2 linked regions of the Struthio camelus genome follow. The protein of the gene in region 1 interacts with the protein of each later gene in a biochemical or structural test. Links are inferred from orthologs where the notes say so. Each region holds a gene or a part of one and is shown on either strand. Other genes may lie near its edges. The genes, in order: perilipin-3-like and M6PR.

Region 1 (11,992 bases):
GGGGGGGGACATGCCACCGCTCAGCCCCGTGCACCCCGGCTAGAGGAGCGCGGCCAGCCGGGTGGCCAGCCTGCCCTTGGTGAGCTCCGCCTGCGCCGCCGCCGCCGCGGCCTACGCCCGCGCCGAGCAGAGGCACCCGTACGTCGGGGCGCTGTGCGCCGCCGCCGCCAAAGGCGCCAGGACCCTGACGGCGGCCGCCGCCACCGGCGCCCGGCCCGTCCTCGCCAAGCTGGAGCCGCGGAGTGAGTGGGGCCAGGGGGGAGGTTGGGGACCGGGGGGGGGGTACCGGGGGCCGGGTGGGTTCGGGTAACCGGGTGCTGCGGGCCGGTTCCCACCGAGCGGGCAGGGTGGCCGGCTCTGCACGGGGTGGGGGGGCTCCGCTTGGGTGCCGTGGGTTACCCTTGAGAGCGGGTGCTGAGCCCAGCCCCGGGCTACCCCAGGGCACACGCGTGCTTCGCATGCCAGAGCCTCGAAACCAGAGCCCTCGGCGGGGACCCGCTCCCCGGAGCACGTGCCCCGTCCCGGCGCGGCCAGCTAAAGTCTCCCTGTGCCCTTGAGGACACTGGGACGGTGCCAAACCCGCCCGCGTGGCCCTTTCGCCCAGCTCGGTGACACCGCGGTGGCTCCGGGGGCCGTGCTGGGCAGGGGGCCCATCCCCGCAGCCCCTGGCCTCATCCCCGGGACGGCTGCCTGGGCTCGGCCCCAGAGCCCTGGATGTGGGGGTGCTGGGGTGGGGGGGTCACTACCAGTCCCCGAAGCCCCACGGAGGGACCGTGAGCGTGGCGGTGCCCGGAGGGACGGCGATCTCGGGGAAAGGCTCGACTCTGGGCTTATCCCAGCGGCGAAGGTGCGACGGAGACCAACATCCTCCTCCTGCTCTGTCCCCGCCGGTCCAGTCCTACCGGTTTATTCCCATTTCCTGGAACTGGGGACGGTTCGGAGGGGAGGGCTGGAGGGGAAAGGGGCAGCCGGGCTGCTGCGCGTCCCCCGGCTCGCTGCCGTCCCAGCAGCAGCGCGCCGGCGGCCGGCCGAGGCTGCATCTCTCTCTCGCCCTGCCAGTCGCAACGGCCAACAGATTCGCCTGCAAGGGGCTGGATAAACTGGAGGAGAAACTGCCCATCCTGCAGCAGCCCTCGGAAAAGGTAAATCCCCACCGGCAGAGCGGGGGGAGAGGGTGTCCCAGCCCCGGGCGAGCTACCGGGAAAAGCCGTCCTCGAGCCGCAGCGCCGCGTGGGGACGGGATGCTGGGGCCGGCCGCCGTGCTACCCTCAGCCCGTGCCGTCCCCGCGCCAGGTGGTGGCGGAGACCAGGATGCTGGTGTCGTCGGCCGTGACGGGCGCCAGGGAAGCGGCGAGCGGCGTGGTGGGCACGGCCCGGGGCGCCGTGCAGGGCGGCGTGGAGAGGACCCGCGCGGCGCTGAGCGCCGGCGTCGGCACCGTCGTGGGCTCGCCAGTGGGCAGGATGGTGGTGACGGGAGTGGAGACGGTGCTGGGCAAGTCGGAGGAGCTGCTGGATCGCTACCTGCCCATGACGGACGAGGAGCTGGGTGAGTGCCTTTCCCGGCCGCTTCTCCCTCCTCCGGAGGTGCCAAAGCCGCCGGGACCCCCTTCCCTTCCGGTTTCGTGCTGGGGGGCGCAGGGCCTGGCGCGGTGGCCCCGGGCAGGAGAGGGGCCGGTCCCCGCTCAGCTGCTCCGAGGGGAACCTGAAGCCGGGGAACGCGGAGCAGCAGCGGTTTGAACTCTCACCTGGAAACCCAAGAGCAAATATAGCCTTGATGCCGCCATCCCACCCCGCCGCCGGGTATTTATAGCACGGGCACGGGGCTAGCAGGGGGGCACGGCTGGTTCCGGCTCGGAGCAGAGGTGACCGCGGGGGCCGTCCGGCTGCTTTCCAGCGGCGACGCCTCCGCACGGCCGGCCGGGTGCGAACCGGCGGGTGCAAACCGGGGCCGTGCTGCCGGAGCGAGGGAGGACGGCGTGCCGCCGGCTCCCGAGCCGGGGAGCGGTGGGGTGGGGGGGCCGCTTTCCTGCGGGATGCTCCTTAGCCGGCTCCCAGGTACCCAGCGTGGCAGAGCCCGGGCTCGCCGCCCTGATGCTTCTGCCCCCCCCGCAGCCAAGCTGACCGCGGCCGTGCAGGGCTTCGAGACGGCCCCGGCGGAGCGGCGGCAGAGCTACGCGGCGCGCCTCGGCTCGCTCTCGGCCAAGCTGCAGCACCGAGCCCTGCAGCACTCGCTGGGCGGGCTGCGGAGCGCCCGCCGCTCGCTGGCCCGGCTCCAGCACATCCGCCAGCTGGTAAGACGGCGGCCGGCCCCACGGCGTGCCCCGCTCACCCCGGGGGTGCTCCCATTCCCCCCCTTTCTCCCCCCCCCATCCTTTCCAGGTCGCACGCGTGAAGCAGGGCACGGAGGGGAGGCTGCGGGGTGCCCGCCGGTACCTGCGCCGCTTGTGGCTGCAGCCGGACCCGAGCGAGGCCGCGGCGGACGCGCGGGTAGCGCCGGCAGGCAGCCGGCGACGGCGAAGCGTCTCGGCCGCCGGCGTTTCCCGGCTCGCTGCCTCGCAGGTGGAGGCGGGCGCGCTGCTGTGGCTCGCGCGCTGGCTGCGGGCGGTCTGCGCCCGGGCCACGGCGGGCCGCGTGCGGGAGGCGCAGGCCACCGTCTCCCGCACCCGCTCCTTCCACGACCTGTCGGACCTGGTGGTGGCGCAGAGCCGCCGGCGGATGACGCAGGCCCAGGTGACCATCGACGAGCTGCTCGACTACGTGGCGCAGCACGCGCCCCTGCCCTGGCTCGTGGGTCCCTTCGCCCCCGTCCTCGTCGAGTACCCCGAGGACAGCCTCGTGGACATGGCCAAGTGGGACGGCTGCCTGGCCATCGGTGGCAGCCACCGGGCGCCCGGCTCGCCGCGTCTCTGCAGCGAGCTCTGAGCGACGGCGGCCGGCCAGGGGCTCGCCCGCTCCCCGGGTGCGGGGACGAGCTGCCGAAACGCCCGCTTGGCACGGCAAAACTAGTCCCCGCAGCGCGATGGACTTTGGGAGCCGGTGCGGGCTCCCTCCGCGCCTGGCGCCTCGCTCGGGGACGGAGGTGACGGTGGGCTGAGAACGAAGCGCGGGTCCAGCCCTGCTCCTCGTCCGCTTTGGGGTCTCGGTCCCCCCCGCGGTGTCCCCGAGCCTGGGGAGCATCAGGATTTCTAGTCTCACCAGCTCGAAAGCACTTTAAAGAAATAAAGGAACCCTTTAAGCCTTAAAACGGCTCCTGTCCTGTGATGCCGAGCGCTGCGGAGGCGGGCTGGGTGCGGGACTGGCTGGGCCAGGTTTGGGACCCCCGAAAGCCTTGGTCTGTGGCAGCTGTGGTGCTCGGGGAGGGCCAAGGGTCGCCCCGGGGAGGCTTTCGCTCCCCGGAGGAGGAGGAGAAGCAGCAGGGCGAGGTGAGAGTTGGGTGCCCGGGGCCCGCCGGACTGTGAACCGGGGCCGTGTGGCACCGAACTTCGCTCCGGGTTATCGTCACCGCCGCTTCCCGCGCTGTCACGCGGCCCCCGCGGCTCTGCCCCGCTCGGCCTCAGCATCGCCAGCCCCAGCAGGCCGTCGTCTGGCCTGCGTGTCCCCGTGCTGGGGGGCCCTGGTGTCCCCCCCCGTGCAGTGGGGGCTGGCGGGACCCCATCTTCGCAGGCAGTGGGCTTGACCCCTTCCCGTTTAACCCTCAGCCTCCCACACTGGGGGCTCAGTGAGCTGGGGAGGGGGGATCCGGGGGTGCCGTCCAGAAGGGTGATTGGTCTGGGCAGGGTGGGTGCTGTCCACCCCGGGGGGATCCAGTCTGGCGGGGTCCGGAGGGGGATCCAGCCCCCGGGGGTCGGTGCCACGCAGCCCGGGGGGGGGTCCGGAGGGGGATCCAGTCCCGGGGGTCAGCACCGCGCAGCCCGGTGGGGGGTCTGGAGGGGGATCCTGCCCCGGGGGTCAGCACCGCGCAGCCCGGTGGGGGGTCCGGAGGGGGATCCAGTCCCAGGGGTCAGCGCCATCCAGCCCGCGGGGGTCCGGAGGGGGATCCAGCCCCGGGGGTTGGCGCCGCGCAGCCCGGCGGGGGGTCCGGAGGGGGATCCAGCCCCGGGGGTCGGCACCGTCCAGCCCACGGGGGGTCCGGAGGGGGATCCAGCCCCGGGGGTCAGCGCCGCGCAGCCCGGTGGGGGGTCTGGAGGGGGATCCAGCCCCAGGGGTCAGCGCCGCGCAGCCCACGGGGGGTCCGGAGGGGGATCCAGCCCCGGGGGTCGGCACCGTCCAGCCCGCGGGGGTCCGGAGGGGGATCCAGTCCCGGGGGTCGGCACCGTCCAGCCCGGGGGGGTCCGGAGGGGGATCCAGCCCCGGGGGTCGGCGCCGCGCAGCCCGGCGGGGGGTCCGGAGGGGGATCCAGCCCCGGGGGTCGGCGCCGCGCAGCCCGGCGGGGGGTCCGGAGGGGGATCCAGCCCCGGGGGTCGGCACCGTCCAGCCCGCGGGGGTCCGGAGGGGGATCCAGCCCCGGGGGTCGGCACCGTCCAGCCCACGGGGGGTCCGGAGGGGGATCCAGTCCCGGGGGTCGGCGCCGCGCAGCCCGGCGGGGGGTCCGGAGGGGGATCCAGCCCCGGGGGTCGGCGCCGTCCAGCCCGCGGGGGTCCGGAGGGGGATCCAGCCCCGGGGGTCGGCACCGTCCAGCCCGCGGGGGGTCCGGAGGGGGATCCAGCCCCGGGGGTCGGCACCGTCCAGCCCGCGGGGGGTCCGGAGGGGGATCCAGTCCTGGGGGTCGGCGCCGCGCAGCCCGGGGGGGTCTGGAGGGGGATCCTGCCCCGGGGGTCGGCGCCGCGCAGCCCACGGGGGGTCCGGAGGGGGATCCAGCCCCGGGGGTCGGCACCGTCCAGCCCGCGGGGGTCCGGAGGGGGATCCAGCCCCGGGGGTCGGCACCGTCCAGCCCGCGGGGGGTCCGGAGGGGGATCCAGTCCCGGGGGTCTGCGCCGCGCAGCCCACGGGGGGTCCGGAGGGGGATCCAGCCCCGGGGGTCGGCACCGTCCAGCCCGCGGGGGTCCGGAGGGGGATCCAGCCCCGGGGGTCGGCACCGTCCAGCCCGCGGGGGGTCCGGAGGGGGATCCAGCCCCGGGGGTCGGCACCGTCCAGCCCGGGGGGGTCTGGAGGGGGATCCAGCCCCGGGGGTCGGCGCCGCGCAGCCCACGGGGGGTCCGGAGGGGGATCCAGCCCCGGGGGTCGGCGCCGCGCAGCCCGGCGGGGGGTCCGGAGGGGGATCCAGCCCCGGGGGTCGGCACCGTCCAGCCCACGGGGGGTCCGGAGGGGGATCCAGTCCCGGGGGTCGGCGCCGCGCAGCCCGGCGGGGGGTCCGGAGGGGGATCCAGTCCCGGGGGTTGGCACCGTCCAGCCCGCGGGGGTCCGGAGGGGGATCCAGCCCCCGGGGGTCGGCACCGTCCAGCCCGCGGGGGTCCGGAGGGGGATCCAGCCCCCGGGGGTCGGCACCGTCCAGCCCGCGGGGGGTCCGGAGGGGGATCCAGTCCCGGGGGTCGGCGCCGCGCAGCCCGGGGGGGTCTGGAGGGGGATCCAGTCCCGGGGGTCGGCGCCGCGCAGCCCACGGGGGGTCCGGAGGGGGATCCAGCCCCGGGGGTCGGCACCGTCCAGCCCGCGGGGGTCCGGAGGGGGATCCAGCCCCGGGGGTCGGCACCGTCCAGCCCGCGGGGGGTCCGGAGGGGGATCCAGCCCCGGGGGTCGGCGCCGCGCAGCCCGGCGGGGGGTCCGGAGGGGGATCCAGCCCCGGGGGTCGGCGCCGCCCTGCCCGACGGGGGGTCCGGAGGGGGATCCAGTCCCGGGGGTCGGCGCCGCGCAGCCCGGCGGGGGTCTGGAGGGGGATCCAGCCCCGGGGGTCGGCGCCGCGCAGCCCACGGGGGGTCCGGAGGGGGATCCAGCCCCGGGGGTCGGCGCCGCGCAGCCCGGCGGGGGGTCCGGAGGGGGATCCTGCCCCGGGGGTCGGCGCCGCCCTGCCCGGGGGGGGGTCCGGAGGGGGATCCAGCCCCCGGGGGTCAGCGCCGCGCAGCCCGCGGGGGGTCCGGAGGGGGATCCTGCCCCGGGGGTCGGCACCGAGCAGCCCACGGGGGGTCCGGAGGGGGATCCAGCCCCGGGGGTTGGCGCCGCGCAGCCCACGGGGGGTCCGGAGGGGGATCCAGCCCCGGGGGTCGGCACCGTCCAGCCCGCGGGGGTCCGGAGGGGGATCCAGCCCCGGGGGTCGGCACCGCGCAGCCCGGGGGGGTCTGGAGGGGGATCCAGCCCCGGGGGTCGGCGCCGCGCAGCCCGGCGGGGGGTCCGGAGGGGGATCCAGCCCCGGGGGTCGGCGCCGTCCAGCCCGGCGGGGGGTCCGGAGGGGGATCCAGCCCCGGGGGTCGGCGCCGTCCAGCCCGGCGGGGGGTCCGGAGGGGGATCCAGCCCCGGGGGTCGGCACCGTCCAGCCCGCGGGGGTCCGGAGGGGGATCCAGTCCCGGGGGTCGGCACCGTCCAGCCCGGGGGGGTCCGGAGGGGGATCCAGCCCCGGGGGTCGGCGCCGCGCAGCCCGCGGGGGGTCCGGAGGGGGATCCAGCCCCGGGGGTCGGCGCCGCCCTGCCCGGCGGGGGGTCCGGAGGGGGATCCAGCCCCGGGGGTCGGCGCCGCCCTGCCCGACGGGGGGTCCGGAGGGGGATCCAGTCCCGGGGGTCGGCGCCGCGCAGCCCGCGGGGGGTCCGGAGGGGGATCCAGCTCCGGGGGTCGGCGCCGTCCAGCCCGGCGGGGGGTCCGGAGGGGGATCCAGCCCCGGGAGTCGGCGCCGGGGGGAGCCGGGGCGGGGCCGGGGGTCGCTGCGCCCCGGGCCGGCCCCGGCAGGGCGGGCCGCGCTCCCCCGCGGCGGGGCCGGGCTCCGCGGCTATAAAGGCCCGGGGGGAGCGGCCGAGCCTGCAGCGCCGAGGAGGTGAGTGCGGCCGGGCCGGGCCTTGCAGCGCTGCCAGCCGGGAGGGCCCGGGGGTCCCGGTCCCGGCCCCGGTCCCGGTCCCGGGGGCGCCGCGCTCGGGGGCGGATTTTGGGCAGCGGCCGCCGCGCCGTGGCGGGTTGGGGGCGGACCGGGATCGCTGTTTTTCCCCTGTCCCCGGGGGAGGGGGGGGGGTCCAGGGGGGTTTGGAGGACCCGGGAGGAGCTGGGAGCACCCTGCCCGGGGGGTGCCCCGTCCTGAGGGTGGGAGATGTGGGGGAACTGGGATCCCCCCTGTCCGGGGGTGACCGGGTGATCCGGTTGCTGAGCCCCGCTCTCCGTTTCCTCCCAGCCCCGCCATGGCCACCAGCGACCCCAGCACGGCGCACCCCAAGGCTGAGGAGCAGCAGGTCGGTAGGGTTGGGGTGGGATGGGGGGGGTCTGCGTGGCCCCTGCCTGGGGACAGGGCTCAGGTTACTGCCCTGGGTCACTCTGTCCCTGGGTGGGCTCTGCCGGAGACACCGTGCTGCCAGGGTTGGTGTGACCATGTCCTGGTCCAGGACAGGCTGGGGGGACTCAGGTCTCCTCGGTGGGGAGGGTGGTGGGATAGGGGACCCCAGTGATTGTGGTGGGGGGGGGATGCCCCTAGCCCTGCTTTCTCTGGGGGTGGGGGGGGGTCTGCTTGGCATGTGGGTTCGGGGCTTTGTCAGACTCTGCCCTCACCGGTGCCCTCCCCACACCCAGAGCATCGGGACCCGGGTGGCCAGCCTGCCCCTGGTGAGCTCTGCCTACGACATGGTGTCCACGGCCTACGCCTCCACCAAGGAGAGCCACCCCTACGTCAAGTCGGTGTGCGACGTCGCCGAGAAGGGCGTGAAGACCCTGACGGCGGCGGCCGTCAGCGGGGCCCAGCCCATCCTCACCAAGCTGGAGCCGCAGAGTGAGTGGGGTCGGGAGCAGCTGCGGTGCCCTGGAGGGTCTCCAGCCCCGTCGCCCTGCCCGCTCGGGGCTCGCCGCCTGAGCAGCGAGTGCTGGGGTGCCCAGAAAACTGGCACTAGCAGGAAACTTTGGCAGGTAGTTAAGAGAGTGCTTTCCTTGTCTCTAGTTTCCACGGCCAACGAATACGCCTGCAAGGGGCTGGATAAACTGGAGGAGAAGCTGCCCATCCTGCAGCAGCCCACGGAAAAGGTAACGCTGTGCTTCAGTCCCGGCGAGCAGGCTCATGTCTGCCCTGTAGTTGCCTAACGGAGGGTATTCGCTTCTCTCTAGCTCATCTCGGACACAAAGCAGCTGGTGACTTCCACTGTGACGGGGGCCAAGGATGTTCTCACCAGCACCATGGCTGGGGCCAAGGATGCGGTGACCAGCCGGGTAACGGGTGTGATGGATATGACCAAAGGGGCCGTGCAGGGCAGCATGGAGCTGACCAAGTCTGCGGTGACCAGCGGCGTCAACACGGTCATGGGCTCGACTGTGGGCCAGATGGTGGTGAGCGGGGTGGGCTCTGTGCTGGAGAAGTCGGAGGAGCTGGTGGATCACTACCTGCCCATGACGGACGAGGAGCTGGGTAAGGAGCTGGCAGCAACTCCCTGGAGACATGGGGGAGGATCAGGAGCCCCTTGGCCCAGTGGGTAGAGCCTGGAAGGGGTTGGTGGGCTCTGTGTGGGCACCCTGGGGTGAGCAGGGCCATGTGCAAGTGCCCAAACCAGGAGATGCCCTGCATGGGGTTGGTGGTCTTTCAGGACCCCTCACAGCCTTGGCTTGTCTCTTCCAGCCAAGCTGGCCACAGCAGTGGAAGGCTTTGAAACGGACCAGCAGAAGCAGCAGCAGAGCTACTTTGTGCACCTGGGCTCGCTCTCCACCAAGCTGCGGCACCGTGCCCTCCAGCACTCGCTGGGCAAGCTGCAGAGCGCCCGCCAGAGCAGCCAGGACGTGCTGGCCCAGCTCCAGCGCACCCTGGACCTGGTAGGACCTGGCCCCCCTGGCTCCATCAGCCAGGGGCTGTTGTCGGGGCCTGGCAACAGGCCACCCATGCCAGCCTGTCCCTTCCCTTCCAGGTGGAGCACCTCAAGCAGGGCATGGACCAGAAGCTGCAGGGAGGCCAGGAGAAGCTGCAGCAGATGTGGCTGGAGTGGAGCAAGAAGCAGCCAGGAGGTGGCAAGGACCTGGTGCAACCGGAGGTAGGTGGAGGTGGATGGTGGAGTCTCCAGGGCCCCCTCAGGCTGCCCAGGTGGCTCATCCTCCCCTTGTCCCCTTGCAGCAGGTGGAGTCAGGCACCCTGGCTGTGCTGCATGGCTTGACGCAGCAGCTCCAGAGCACGTGCCAGCCCCTGGTGTCCAGCCTGCAGGGCCTCCCAGCTGGCATCCAGGACAAGGCGGGCCAGGTCCGGCAGAACGTCGAGGAGCTCCGGGCCGCCCTCGCCAACGTCGCCTCCTTCCAGGATGTGACGGGTAGCGTGCTGGCCCAGGCCCGGAGTCGTGCAGCCAAGGCCCGCGAGCTCATGGATGAGCTGGTGGAGCACGTGGCCCACAACACCACCCTGTCCTGGCTCGTGGGGCCCTTCGCCCCCTCGGGCCAGCGCCTGGTGGATATGGAGATATCCAAGTAGCAGCTGCTGCCTCCGGGCCGGGATTATATCTGCCCTGACCCAGGCCTAGCTAGGAGCACCTCAACTAACACTCCAGCCTAGCCCAACTAACCATCTTAGCTCTGTAATCCTCTGCTCTGGGGGCGTCTGTACTGGCTGCAGGAGCCTCCCCGGGCAGGGGCCACTGTCTAGTCTGTCCCAAGTGCAGCTTGGTCCCCTGTACCCTGTCCTTGGGCTAGGGCTGTACTAGCAAAGTGCCTTGGTGTCTTCAAGTGCCTATGGGACCCTTGGGTGACTTTCCCTAGTCCCCCTCTGTTCGGCCTGAGCTGCCCCCCGGCTCCATCATCCCTCTCTCCCTCAGTGCCTAGAGCCCTCGGTGCCTTCAAGCCCCCAGTTTTGCCCCCTGCGTCTGGGTGCTGGTTTGACCTCGGGTGCCCAGGCTGGTTGTGAGACCTGGTGCTCCCGGCTGGGGCCAGGGTTTGAGCCCAGCCCTGGGAGCGGGAGCCCGTGCGGACTCTGCACCCTGAGGACTGCTCGCAAAGCAATAAAGTCTGGTTGGTTTTTTTGCACCGGATCTGAGGCCTCATGTGTGAGCAGGTTGGGATGGTGGGAACTGTGGCCCAGGCCCCGTGGGGCTGAGCACCCGGCCTTGGTGTCCCCCCCAGCTTCTGGGGCTAGAGGAGCTGTTGGAAGGGGGCATGATGTCATAGCCCTGCTGTGACCTCAGAAGGAGGGTGCTGTGCTAATGGAGTCAGCAGAGGGGCTGGTCCTGGTGCTGAGCCCTCACCTGGGCTGCTGGCTTTGCCACCTGCCCCTGAGCAGCCCCCATGGCTGAGGGTGAGCATGGGGTGGTCCCCATGCCCCTGGGGCACAGCTTGGACCCCAGGGGGGCCCCTCGGGGTGCCTCTGGCCCAGGGGGTCTGTGCTGGGCCAGGGGAGCGGGGGGCAGCCCTGGTTCCCTGCATCTCAGGGCTGTCACCCTGCTCTGCCTCCCCAGAGCTGGATGTCACCCAGCCTGGTGGTGACAATGGCCCCGAAGCACCGTCGGCCAGCCTGGGGCCAGCCCTGCCCGAGAGCTGGGAGCAGCAGGTTGGCGTCGGGGGCCGAGCGCCTGGGCTGGGGGGGGACCGTCCGCGGCCCTGCTCAGCTCTGCTGCTGCTCAGTTTGCAGTGAACAGGGTGGTCAGCGCGCCCGGCGTCCCCCCCACCTCCGGCCCGTCCCGCAGCCAGCCCCCGCGCGCCCCCTCGCAGCCGGCCCCCGAGGCCAGCGCAGACCCCGGCCGCCCAGCGAGCCGGGTTTGGCGTGAGTAGGGCTGTGGAGCGCGGCGGGGGAGATGCCAGCCCTGTGCCCCCCGTGGGGGACTCGCAGCCCCCCACCCCTGCTCAGCATCCCTGTCCCCCCCCTGCAGCCGCAGCAGCCCAGGACCCCGCGGAAGAGGCCACCCTGCAGCCACGCCAGCAGGTGCCCGATCCCCGGGGGTTGCACTTGGGGAGGGGGGACAAACTCCCCCAAGTGCTGGTTTTTTTTGGGGGGGGGGAGATGAGCATCCAGCAGGAGCCCGGAGGGAGCCCCTAGGTGCACCCCTGCCTCGCCGCAGGCAGGGCACGGTGCCTGGCAGCCCCACTATGCGCCTAGGCTGCGGGAAGGCCCACCGAGCCCATGGCCACCCTGCTCCAGCAGCCGGGCGCCCCGCAGGATGCCCTCAGCCTCCCCGCCGTGCTGGGCACCGCGGCCGGGCGGCTCTTCCTGCGCAGCATGGACCGGGTGCTGGAGAAGTCCGAGGAGTGGTTCAACTGCTACCTGCCCCTGGGCGAGCAGCAGGCGGGTAAGAGCCCCTGGGATGCTGCTGGGGGGTCCCTGTGTCCCTCTCTGCATTGAGATGCTGCTCTGGGTTGGGGGGGTCCCCATGGACCATACCAGGATGTTGCTCAGGGTCAGGGGTCCCCGTATCCCATATCGGGATGTTGCTTGCGGGGGTTGAGGTCCCCATGTCCCATGCTGTACTGGGCTGCTGCTTGGGGGCTGGGGAGGTCCCCATGTCCTGTCCCACACTAGGTTGCTGCTTGGGATCACCATGCCCCATACCAGGATGCTGCTCCAGCTCAGGGGTCCCAATGTCCTGTCCTGGGATGCTGCTCAGTGTTGGGGGGGGGGGGGTGGTCCCCATGCCCCATACCAGGATGCTGCTCAGGGAGCAGGTCCCCATGTCCCATCCCCTGCTGGCCTGCCTCTCCCCATTGTCCCCCCCCCCCCAACGGTGTCCCCACAGCCCGGCTCCTCTCTGCACATCTCTCTCTTCCATCTCTCTCCCAGCGAAAGCGGCTGCGGAGGGGCTGGAGGCGGCGGCGGCTGGGTGCCCCCAGCCCGGCGGCTCCCCGCGCAGCTGCCTGCGGGAGCGGGTGGTGGCCGGGCTCCTGCAGCAGCTGCGCCAGAGTCGGCTGGTCATGCAGCACA
Region 2 (12,156 bases), on another chromosome or scaffold:
TGTTAAACTATAGAAAGGCAAAGAGATTATGGTGGGGAAGTATCACTCAACATTTAGCCTGCTGTTATGCTTTTTTCTTCAGGATTTAGCTATTAGTCACCTGCAGGGAAATATTACCAACCATGATGGACCTTGATTAGACTGCAACGAGAGTGTTTTGTTTCCTACTTGTACTAAATTATTTTGATTTTTAGAGAAGTTTTTAGGCTCACTAGTTTTAATAGCTTTTCCTGTTTTACAGCAATATATTTTACAGCTGCGGTTTTGGCTAAAAGGAGTTCCCATTGTAACCAGGGAAACAGTGTAAGAGAGTTTAGTTTTAAGCACCATTCTTCTGGTAGAACAATGTTTCGTAAGACAAAGGTTTTGTAGTATTTCTTGAAGCCAGTCAGTCTGGATTTGCAGGATCTTCTAGCTGCCCCACTTCTAGCTAAAAAATATCAACATTTATTTATTTTTAAATCATTATTAAAGAATAAAAACGTTTCAGTTACAAAAACAGAAGGAATCCTCTACTTCATACATAGAAGGAGACATCAGGAGAACTGAAGATCTTGAACTCAGTAGCTATTCTCTCTGCTTGTTCTCTATTCATCTTGTAAGGCACCTTTGTATCTATGGTAACTTGGTTTTTGCCATCAAATTAATCCTCAAGTGAATGGAGTCAGACTGAGGTTAAGTGGTAGTGTGGAGCTGCTTCTCTGCAGATTAAAACTGAAAACTGAGGAAAAGGGGATAAATATCTGTTGAAACATAATTCTTTTTTCTGAGATCACATGTCTGAGCAACTGAGCACTCACACTTCTGTTTTCCTTCCTCTCTTGCATCTCAAAGAGGATGTCTCCTGCACCCTCCAGATCACTGTTACTAATTTTACGGAAAACGACTTCCGGGACAAGGTTACTGGAACAACAGTCAGCGAAACAGTTAATCTTTAAATGTCAGCACAGGTATCTGAGCTGGCACCTACCAGCAAAGAATAGAGCAGTTCATCCTCTGTTGTCTCAAACCAAATGCAGAAAAAAGGGAACTAACTTGAACAAGTGAATAGGCATCAAACCACAATTCCAGTGCATCTTCACAACCAGAACAGCAGGAGAGTTCCCTTTTTTTTTAATGAAAAAATATGCACTTAGATAATTTTTGAAGGAAAAAAAACAGTATGAAACTGAAGAGAGCAAGTCATATTGAAGCTTTCAAGATGAATTTGAGCCTTGCTTGAATGGCAGTGCTCAACCCAGGGAAGTGGAATAAAACATTTGATAAAATAGCATTTGTCCCTGCAGCATTTGTCCGTGCAGTTCCCCTTTTTAAAATAGACTCAAGAATCTGTGCTTGACCCTCAAGTCACTGGAGTATCATGTTAAGCTCCTTCCGGGAAAGGGAGGGAGAAGTAGCCAAGATGAGTCTGAAATAGAGGGGGAAAGTCTGAGCAGAACATCTAGAAATATTTTCATACAGTTGTCTGGGATACTGTGGAAAAATCTCCCCAAGGTAAGAGAGAGGTGGTCTGATTTGATATTTAGTGTCAAAATCCAATGTTATAATTTTCCTATATAAAAAATACAAAGTTAGGTCTGTTAGAGCTCTGGAAAGCTAACTGTGATAAACTGCATTCATCCATAACACAATAGAGTATTTTTAGGGTTGAGAGTCCAGATTCAGTTCAGAAACTGAAAATTGTCATCATTTAATAATTCAAGTCTTCAAGGACAATCAGAAGAATGCCATTGCACTGTCCCAGATAGATACCCTCAGCTCTTTTCTACGTCAGTATGGGAGCAGCATGACTACACAGGGCAAGGGAGGAGGATCTGAGGGACAAGACCTGTCCCTAGCTATGGCACAGGCCAGGTTACTTGCTGTTACATGCTGCACTGGTGAACACTCTCAAGTGACTACTTGAGTGGTATGTTGGTAGCGTGGAATATTTCAGGCTCTCTGGCAGCCAGAGAGAACACAGCTGGTGCAACTATTCATGTTAGTGGAGTCCATGTGAGCCAGAACCAGTTGTTTTGACCCTGTTATACTGGGTCACAAGTGTGATTCAGTAGTAAGGGTGTGCATTTGAAAGCAGAGATGATATACGTGGAAATGCATCTCTCAAGAGAGGCTGCGGGGGGAGGCAGCACGCAGAGAGAGTTGAAAGTCAAAGTCTTGCTAAAAAAAGGTACTTAAGCTGTGCTCAGAGCGACAGTTCTTGGCAGGCAGAAGGGAGCTGGAAAATAATTAAATGATATGCACAGAAATGTGTGTTCAAAGACTAGCTTCCTCTTTTCAGGCCCTCTGGTTTTATCTCAAAAGGAACAGTTTGCTTTGGCAATTTGGAGAAGAGGAACATTAACAAGAAAACTGCAAACATCTCAACAGGGGATCCTGGAATACCCACCTCCCATTGGATGGGATGAGCACAAGCGGTGAGGAATGAAGGGATGTGTCTGCATTTTCTGACACATCTGAAAACATGTCTAAAAGCAAGATCGTCTTCCAAGTAAGTTCACTGTGGCTAGCAGATAAGAACTTTGGGAGTTCTGTGCCAGCATTGCTTCTATAGCTCAGTAAGCAATGGGGCAGCACTAACAACTGCAGATATGTACAGTTACTCTGAACAGGACGCAGAAATCTCCTGTCCCAGAGTGAGAGCCCTGGTTGCTATAACAGCTCTAAAAAAAGTTATGAACAGCCAGTAGTGTTGCAGCCAACACAAAGCCCTTCACCTAAAGCATATGCGCATTTAGAGGAAAAGCAATCAGCTCATGGGCAGAAGACATTTATAATGAAAGGTCACCACTGCAAAATCTCACTATTCAAAGGCACAAATAAGAGGCCAGAGAAATTGTTCAGTATGACACTTGCAGGGTTTAAATAGGGGGAATGAAATGAAAACTAGGAAAGAGAAAATTTAAGGCAAGTACTAAAAAATTGTTCCTGATAGTAAGCTGTCCTGTAGAACTGTCTCAGAGGAAGGCTGAAAGTTTGCTCACTGGAAGTATATAAAATTGAGCAAAGAAAGCACAGAAAAAAGGCATCTCAGAACAAACCTGCAGAGCCCCCATAGGAGAGAGAATGGATGATCGCATAAGTCCCTTCTGTCTCTGATCTCTGATTAGCATACGCCTTTATCTGTAGCTCCATCTCACCCATCTTTCAAAGAACTATTACTGACAAGCAGACAACTTTAAAAAGTATAAATCTCTTTTGGCAAAAGGAGTGCCTGAATTGAGTGCCCAATAGGAGACATTGAAAGGAGTCTGATGGAGAGAGGGAAGGGAAAAGTGCTGGGTCTTTGGCCCGTTGGCTTTTGTCACAGGAGAACACTCAGACAATTTTTAAATCAAAGCTACAGCACCCTGAGCTGGTTATTCAAAATCTGTGGCCACTTCAGAGTGTATTTGCTAGATCTTGTGGAAATACCATGAAATAAAATCCTTTGTTCACCTACCTCATCTAGCTTCCTTACCTGTCCTTTCCCATCTTGCTTTGGCCTGCAGTGGAGGAGTCTGAGAGAACTTGAGAGATGTATAGATTATTTCCTCACTTGTTCCTGCTGCAGAAGTTTCTGACCTGCTTTCCTCCATGCCAAAACAAAGAGTGCGTATAACAAGATGTTTCGATCAGGCTGTTGAGCGACGGGGTTCAACGTCTGTGAAACAGGAAACCTGAGGCTGCATTCAGAAGACAAGAAATGTGAAGTTGCAACCTCTGTCTCCAGCTGTGCAAAATGAGCAACTTCACACCAGAATGGAGAGCACTGGAGGCGCAACAACTTCCATTTCCTAATCTGCTGAGGGGTGATATAAAGCAGTAGCTAGGGGAAGAGGTGATTAATCTCAACGTTCCTGGGTTTTCTAACTGTTGTCAACACAAGAGGCTTTGATTACATTGTGGTAGTAACTGCGTAAACATGGGCAGCTCTGAAGAGCTCCCTCTCAGGATAAGGTATTAAGCAGGTGGATAGGGACAGTACAAGGTAAATAGCACCAGTGGGATAAGCAATGGCTACACCAGACTAGGAAGTCCTACTGTTGTCAAAAGCTTTAGAGTGAAGTAGAGGTGCACATCATGGTTTTGAGAAGGAAGCCTGTGAGCTTTGGACGCTTTTACTGGGAACTCTTTCTACACCCAACACCAAGTATGAAGGTGCTTGGGACACAGGCAGACACCGAGAGTTAGCATCCCTCAAGACCTTCCGAGTCAGTATCTCAGCAGCATCAGAGATAACAGGCAGACACCGAGAGTTAGCATCCCTCAAGACCTTCCGAGTCAGTATCTCAGCAGCATCAGAGATAACAGGGTATTTTTCTGCTGTAGTGGCAAAGATTGATCACTGGAGGAATGGTGGGGAGTACTGATGCTTCTAGCACACGGAGAAACCCCTTAACTGCATGGCTGCCTGATTTTCCTTTTGGGTTTGGATTCTGATCCCCTCCAGTTCCTGCTCAATTGGAAGATGTTTGATAGGTTTGGGGGATACACCTTCCTCACTCGTACAGTTCACTTAGTGAATTGTCTGGGCATTTTCACCAAAGGACTTTGTCATGTTTTTCAGTTCCAGAACAGGAATGTTTTCTTTCTGTCCTCGTGGCACACTGTAAATTTGAGGAGTGGTTGTGGGGGAGGGTATACAGCTTGATATAGAGTGCTGTGGACAATTTGCAACATGTGCATGTCCAGGAAGATAGGGAGTGGCTATTCCTGCAAACTCTTTCATCACACGCTTGCCTCTAAGGGTGGCACATTGCATCTATGAGATTCCTTCCAATCTTGTGTTTCTATGTAGGGCCTTTAGATGGGAAGACAGGGGGTCTGTACCTGAGGGGAAAGGGAAGTTAGACGAGAACAAAGAAACACAAGAGGAGGGAAGCCTCCTTCGAGTGCTCTGAATGGATATTAGGGGAATCTAAAGAGAGTTGTCAAGCCCTCAGAGGAAGAACTTGCCATAGTCATGATGAAAGCTTAGCTGGGAATGTAATTTGTGTGGCTGGAAAGAAGCTGACAAGATTTAGAAGCTGCTTAAACGCCCAGACCAAGGGAAAAAGGCTGCAATCAAAGCTGAACCACTGGCTGGCTGCAGGGCCTGCATGTTAAGGAGGATGGTGTTGTTGTTTGTGAACAAGCAGAGAAGTGAAGGCTGGTGTGGAAGAATTAAGAGCTCTGTTTTGATGGGTTTTACCTTATTCTCTCAAGTATCAGTGATAAGTTGAATTCTTAGTTTGAATAGGGAATAGTGAAGTGATCCCCCCATTGGAGGGTATTCAGGCAACACACAGTTAATATCTAATTGTGAATATAAATAAATCTGACTTCTGTTACTAAGATGTCTGTGCTATACTCCCAGTGGAATCAGCAAAAGGACACAAATCACAGCAGGACTAAAATGATCAGTTTGCTAGGAGCCAACAATGTTCCTTCCCACTACTATCAAGAAGCATAGCTTAGGAAAGTCTCTCAAACTCCTCACAAACAAGTGGCTTCTCTAGCATGCTTACAGACTCACCAAACCCAGGATTATTTTCCTATTAAGAGGTGAAGCAAGCCTGAGAGTTCTCACAAAGAAATTCTGTCATTTGTCCCCATCCCTTCTAATAACACAGCCCTGGAAACTAGACTCTTTTATCATAGCAGTGCGAGGATGACTCAAAAAGAGGTGTCTTTTAGATGGGCCAATCTCAGATCATTTATAGCCTTATAAATCATATTCACGACATTCAAGTCCATCAAGTTTGTGCATGATCAGCTGGGACCTGGATCTCATCTGTGGTGGAAAAACTTGCAACAGCTGTTGGAGACACCTTTAATCAAAAATATAATAAAATAGCATGCCAGGCAGAAACAAAATCAGAAGAAGCAAGGCCACAAAATGATCTTATGAATGACAGTATCCCTTGCCAGTTAAACAAGAAATCATTTTGGAAGTACATAACTGGGATGTCATAATTCAAGGAAAGTGATGGTCTATTACCATCAGTAGAGGGGGTGGGGGGGAAAGGTAAGCTATGGCTAGATGATACTGTGTAGTGTTTTTTCTTTATGCTTATCTGCTTCTAGTTGATCTGAACCTGTACTGAGGACAAGGGTAAGATTTCAGCTTTAAAGAGGTAAAGTTAGAAAGTATTAAATGAGATGTTTTCATCTTGATACCTGGTGTGCTTCAGCCTGCAGGACTGGCTTTGACTCTGAGCTCTATAGTGACTCTTAGAGTGCCCGTGGAGGGGGAGCAAAGAATACTAAAGGCAATATAGTACTTGCTTTTAAAAAGACACAGGAAAAAAAGATGAATCCCAGAAAAGTACAGGAGCAAGCAAGGAGCAAACATCTGGAATAAAAAGGTAACAATGGAGATGAATTTGCCAGGAATGAGTTATGTTAAACCAATCTAATCTTAGCTAATCTGTTTCTCTTCTGCTTCAGAGTAACTGTGATCTTGTAGGCAGAGAAGCAGCAGAAAATCTTACGGATTTTGATTTTACCAAGGTTTTTAATGCTGTCTCGCATCCTGTTCTCACTAACATGCTCTACAATAAACTACAATGAAGGTGCAAAACCGTCTAGAAAACCGTACCTCAGAGAGCGGCTGTTAACAGTTCGCTGTCAACAGTGGAGAGACGTACTGAGTGAGATGTGACCAATACCAATTAGTATCTCTATTAAGGATGTGAATGATGGGGGGAAAAGTACAATTACTAAACTGATGACAAGCGACACCAACTTGGGAGGGCTGCAAGCACACAGGAGGGCACATGTTGACCAGGTGAGCCAACGGGAAAATAAAAGCGACACCATTCACGTCAGACCTGCGCACGGCTCCGGGTGCAGATAACACACCCACTGAGACAGGGGCGCGGCGCCCCAACCGCCGCCCGGCGTCCCAACGGCCTCCACGTGCCGTGCGCAGCCACACTACAGCCCCCAACAGGCACCGTGACGGCGCCACGGAGAGAGACGCAGCAAGAACCTCCCCGCTATTGGGCGAGAGGCTCCCGCCTATAGCCGCGCTTCTCAGTGACTATTGGGTGAGAGGGGCTAGTGGGCGGGCACTGTAGGTCCTTGCTGACGGTCCTCATGGCTCATTGGAGAAGATTAAATTGCAAGTGGGGGAGGTCTGCACGCCTCTTTCACCTCCCGTTGGACGGGGATAGGGGCGAAGGCGGGCTCCAGCGGGGCCACTTTATTGGTTGGAGGGGAGCTCTAGAACCCGCCTCTTTCCATCCCCACTCCTCATTCGGCGAAGACTCGCCAGTGGGCGTGGAAATCTCGGCGGCTCCCGAGTTCTTATTGGGGGAAAGCGTTAAGTTCCCTTTTACCCTTCCTGCTTCCGGTCTGGGGGGGTGGGCGAGGGGAGCCGGCCGGCCGGCTGGCCGGGAAAGCGGAAGGCGGTGGAGGCTCATCTCCGTCCCTTTCCCGCGCCAGCGGTCCCCCGGGAGGCCCCCGCCGCCGGGTGCGCCCGTAGCATGGGCTGCTCATGAGCTTTGACTGACTGCTCTGAGGGGGGGGGGGGGTCACGTCTGCCTGCCGGGCGGGCGGACGGGGCGAGGCGAGGCCGCGCTTCGGGGGGGCCGTCGCGGCACCAGGTGGGTCGCGCGGGGCGGGCCCACCCCTCCCCGAGCACTGAGCGCGGCCCGCGGCGGTTCGTGAGACGGTTGGCGCCGGCCGCGGCCGGCGGGGCGGGGAGCCGCAGCGGGGACGGTGCTCCGGGACGCGCCTTCCGCGCCCTCCCGCGAGCCTCGGCGGCCGCAGGGAAATGAGAGGCGCGGGGACTAGGAGGGGGTGTGGAAATCGCTTCGGGCTCCTTGGGCCGCCATGGGGTGAGACCATTCCCTGCCCCGAGCCCCTCTGCATGGCGCTGCGCCACAAGCAGACGGCTCTGTTTCAGCAGCGGGCAATGGTCTGTGTAAAGGTAGTCGCACTGAAATCTGCTCGCCTGAGTGATCCCAGGCGAGGGCCCGACAATAGTATTGTGTTATCGCTTTGTTCCTCGGCAAGTACCTGAATTAAATGTTTGCAAGCAGGTTGTCCAGAGAAGTCTTCTCTGGTACTAAGAGAAGACAGCTTCTCCTTGCTGTCTTGTGAGAGGCAGATCATGAGTTCCTGAGTCACAGACTTCCCCAATTAAGTTTATCTTACCTCTTTATATTTACATCTGTGGTGATTAAAATGATGGCTTAATAGTTGTAACTTCTCATGATGGACTCTGTTGGGGTGAGAGGTAATACTTTCAGCAAAACAGGCTGTCTGCCTATCCATGGTCATATGCTTATTAAATTGTTAACCTGTTAGCTCCCATCAGCATCTGGAACTCTGCTGAAGTCTGTGATGGCAGAAGCAGAGGGTAGTCTGTTGTGCAACTGCAGCTGGGGGGGGGGGGAGCATGAATACTGAATGGTTCATGTGTGATTATAGCATAAGCCTGAAAGCCAAAGCTTCCAGGTTTCATTCGTGTTCTTGCTACTGCCCCTTCTGTTTATCTTAGGTAGGTGGTCTCATTTTCTTTCTTCCCCCATGTAGATGGTAGAAAACTGTTCTTGGAAGCTGCAGCTTAGTACTACTAGATGCTTTCAGATTCTCAGCTAAAGTAGTTAAAGAAGGATATGTAATAATCATTTGGTTATTAGGATTAAGGAGCTTGAACAGACAGAGCCTGACTAATAATAGTTTCTCTACCTACAAGCTCTTTACACAAGACCTGCCGAGACAGTTGATTAGAGAGCTAGTAAATCATTTTATGCTAACTGGCTTCTCAGTGGGATGCAATAATAAACAATGGCTTATGCCTGGAACTTATTCTGGCATCCAGTCTAGAGCTTACTGGACCCTGCTTTGGCTGAATCAATGCTCATTAATGAGCTCAGTGGCAAAACTTTGTGGTCCCAAGACAAAACTTGGAGAAGAAGCCTAAAGACCTGCTGTATTAGTGAATTGTCTTTGACCATGTCAAACTCTTGAGGGTTAGTGTCTCTTGGGAACTTTGAGATGTTTCTAGGTTTTGACTTATCCTTTTTGCGGTCCGGAATGAGTAGGTGGCCAATCGCCACCTTTTTGACTTTTGAGTTAGTTTGCTGGTGATTAAATGATTAATCCCTTGTGTTCTGTGTGGTTGGCATGTATCCAGGATGTCATCACCTCAGCATACCTCTGGTCTGCTGGTAGTTCTTATGGCCCTTGTTGTCAGTGTGTGGGCTGAAGAGGTGAAAGAGAAGAGCTGTGATGTGATTGGTGATGAGAGCAGCGAATCGCAAATGGAAAAAGCCCTGCTGAAGAAACTAGAACCTCTGAGCCAAATGAGGTACAGTGCAAGCATATATCAACTCACTGTAGGTCTTGGGGCTGTACATCTCCCTTAGGTCAGGGAGACTGAAAATTTTGAGGCCAGACTGTAGAGTGGACTCCCCGTGACATGAGCTGTGGCTGGCTCTCAGGGTCTTGAATGACTGCTTTCAGCCCTATTCTTTGTAATTGTATAGGCTATTTGTTCTCTGCCCTCTCTTTGCTGCAGGTTTAACAAGACTGTGGAGCTAGGCACAACAGAAAATTACACCTATCACTTCAGGGTGTGCAGGGAGGTCGACAGCTCCTTGCATGATTTTGCTGGCCTAGTACAAATTGATAGAAAGACTGGAAAGACTACAGTGGTAGGAAGAATCAATGAAACCCAGGTCTTCAATGGAAGTAAGGTTCCAGTCGATAACTTGGCTTACTCAATGTCTGCCTTTTGCCTTCTGGTCTGGATCTATAGCCACCCCCCCCCTTTTTTTTTCCCCCCCCTTTGGTAGGTGACTGGATCATGCTAATTTATAAAGGGGGTGACTCATATGGTAGACACTGCAGTGGCGAGAAGAGAAGAGCTGTGATAATGATTTCTTGCAAGCAGGGGATTACAGCGGTAAGTGACACATGAGGTGGGAGAGGTTATGAAACAGTTGGTTAACACCAGAAAGTTGTGGAGGCAGTAAGGTTTTCTTCTGTCCTCCAATATCCATTGCATAGCTGCACCAACAATGATAGAACTGCCTTTTTGTAAAGTTCGGCATGCCTCAGCATATTTTCACATGACTTGACTTTTCCCAAATCAGAGTTCATTCAACATTATTTCGGAAGAGCGAGAAAAGGAGCAGGAGTGTTTCTACCTCTTTGAGATGGACAGCAGTGTGGCCTGCCCAGCTGAGGATTCCCACCTGAGCGTTGGCTCCATTCTGCTAATCATGTGAGTAATTGGAAGAACTGTTTGTTCCTAAGCCAAAATCTGCAATGCCATTTAGAAACAGCAAATGCTTTACTAGACCAGATAATTGTAGTACAGCTGTCTGCAGCCACTGTTAAATGCTGCTGTGTCTCTGAGCCTTTGGACAAAAGTCGTTGCTTAAAGCATGATGGTGTAGAGGTGCTCTGCCCCCTATAGACATCCTCCTTCCTAGTTTACAGACAAGCATACTGAAACATGAAAGGTATGACCTCCTAAAGTTGTACCACAGCTCTTTGCCAGAGCTGGGAATTCAGGCTAGGAGTCTTGACTCTTCGTTTTTTGTGTTTGTGCTTAGAGGCACTACTTCCTGTGATGCTGCTGAAAGATTTATACTTGCAGATCGATATTTTTGGGTACCTTTCCTGGCCTGGTCTCTGTTTATCGCTCTTTTCTTAAATTGGTACTGCAGTAAGTAACCGAACACTATTTAAGGCAGGTAGCTGGCTAGGGGGAGGTTGTCTGTAGAATTTTCTCAGCTCTGACTTTAAATTCTGTCTTCCAGTTTTGCTTCACTAATTGCATTCTACATCATCGGTGGGTTCCTCTACCAGCGCCTAGTGGTAGGAGCTAAGGGCATGGAGCAGTTTCCTCACTTTGCCTTCTGGCAGGATCTGGGCAATTTGGTGGCGGTGAGTGAGAAATCTTTGTATATTCCCAGCCTGGACCATGTGTTAGTATATGAGAGAAAAGGCAGTTGGGACTTGCCTTGTCTTCATGGACTACGTCTGGGAAATCAACCACAGAGTACCCTGAGGCAGAAGACAGCATGTATCTTATCTTGTAGAGTTCTTGCTTGTTGAATGTTAGAGTCTGGTTCCCCCCTGTGATGTTGATATCCTGTGATTACTACATGGCTAGAGCACATCTCATTAGTGGCTAACCATTCTCAGGTAGGAATGGTAAGCTGAGGACTGAAGTGTTCATGTCTGGTTCCCTGAAACCCTTCCTTGCTCACTTTAGTCTGTTGTTTATCATTCACTCTTGTCTCAGTATGATGTTGCTGCATACTGTTAATCAGTACCACAGTCTACGCTAGAGCTGACCAGCCTTCAAGACTGTGTAGCATCTATGTACACATGCTCCCCCTACCAAGACAAGTTTTTCGGATCTGTCCCAGATAGCTTGAGGATAGGCATAATCCCTTGACAAAAGAGAAGTCACAGAAGCTGCTTTGCTCTGGTGTTAATTGCATATAGTCTGATTCCAGTGTTGTAAAACCTTTGTTTGTAGGATGGCTGTGACTTTGTGTGCCGATCTAAGCCTCGAAATGCACCAGCTGCATACCGTGGTGTAGGTGATGACCAGCTAGGTGAAGAGTCAGAAGAACGGGATGACCACTTGCTGCCAATGTGATAGGCTTTCAACGCTTTTTTTTTTTTTTTCTCTCACCATCTTCCTGGTGCTTGTTTAGCCAGGCACCTCCCAGACAGTTCTCCTCTCACTTTTGATTTTCTTTAAATTACTTGCTTTCGCTGTTTCTGGTGTGTCATGTTTGTGGCATCATGAAAGCCTCTGGATATGAGCACCACTGGTCCCTGAAGGCATGTCTGAGGAATATAATGCTGTTTTAGGCTTTCAAGGAATGCAGCAGAGCTGAGGGGAAAGTGTGTTGAGAGTGGAATAGGAGGCAGCAAAAATGCATATTCAGCATTCAGTATTGAGCAGGCTTGGGAGATGAATTATTGAGAAGGGCATAGATGGGTGCAAAGAGGGGGTGGGAAAGGAGACAGTGGGTTAAAACAGCGGAGATTCTAGGAGAAGCCTTTTGTGTCTCTCCTCTAAGGCTTACTAGATCTGTAAGAACACTGGCTTTATTCTTCAAATGCATTTTCAGCTTTTCTGGCTTCTGCACTGTTATGCAAGCCATTTTCTGCAAGCATAACCTGCACCGAGTGCTCTATGCCAAACTCTTTGGG

What was found.
Region 2: the proteins of perilipin-3-like (region 1) and M6PR form a complex in vitro, tested with the Homo sapiens proteins (2 studies listed by BioGRID). The link is inferred for Struthio camelus from reciprocal best matches to the Homo sapiens genes PLIN3 and M6PR.

What each region holds. Positions count from the first base shown.
Region 1 is NC_090967.1:4,503,330-4,515,321, reverse strand, and holds perilipin-3-like, read left to right. Parts: upstream 1-6,865; 5' UTR 6,866-6,955; intron 6,956-6,963; exon of another isoform or gene 6,964-7,091; intron 7,092-7,303; 5' UTR 7,304-7,310; coding exon 7,311-7,361; intron 7,362-7,695; coding exon 7,696-7,891; intron 7,892-8,056; coding exon 8,057-8,139; intron 8,140-8,220; coding exon 8,221-8,518; intron 8,519-8,725; coding exon 8,726-8,916; intron 8,917-9,008; coding exon 9,009-9,131; intron 9,132-9,211; coding exon 9,212-9,559; 3' UTR 9,560-10,112; downstream 10,113-11,992. Other genes in the region: perilipin-5-like, read left to right, coding at 44-242, 1,060-1,142, 1,294-1,546, 2,113-3,083. UniProt on the Homo sapiens protein: Structural component of lipid droplets, which is required for the formation and maintenance of lipid storage droplets. Required for the transport of mannose 6-phosphate receptors (MPR) from endosomes to the trans-Golgi network.
Region 2 is NC_090942.1:89,013,370-89,025,525, reverse strand, and holds the start of M6PR (cation-dependent mannose-6-phosphate receptor), read left to right. Parts: upstream 1-7,307; 5' UTR 7,308-7,571; intron 7,572-9,109; 5' UTR 9,110-9,110; coding exon 9,111-9,283; intron 9,284-9,493; coding exon 9,494-9,666; intron 9,667-9,770; coding exon 9,771-9,880; intron 9,881-10,070; coding exon 10,071-10,201; intron 10,202-10,742; coding exon 10,743-10,869; intron 10,870-11,470; coding exon 11,471-11,593; 3' UTR 11,594-12,156. Other genes in the region: KLRG1 (killer cell lectin-like receptor subfamily G member 1), read right to left, coding at 3,461-3,578. UniProt on the Homo sapiens protein: Transport of phosphorylated lysosomal enzymes from the Golgi complex and the cell surface to lysosomes.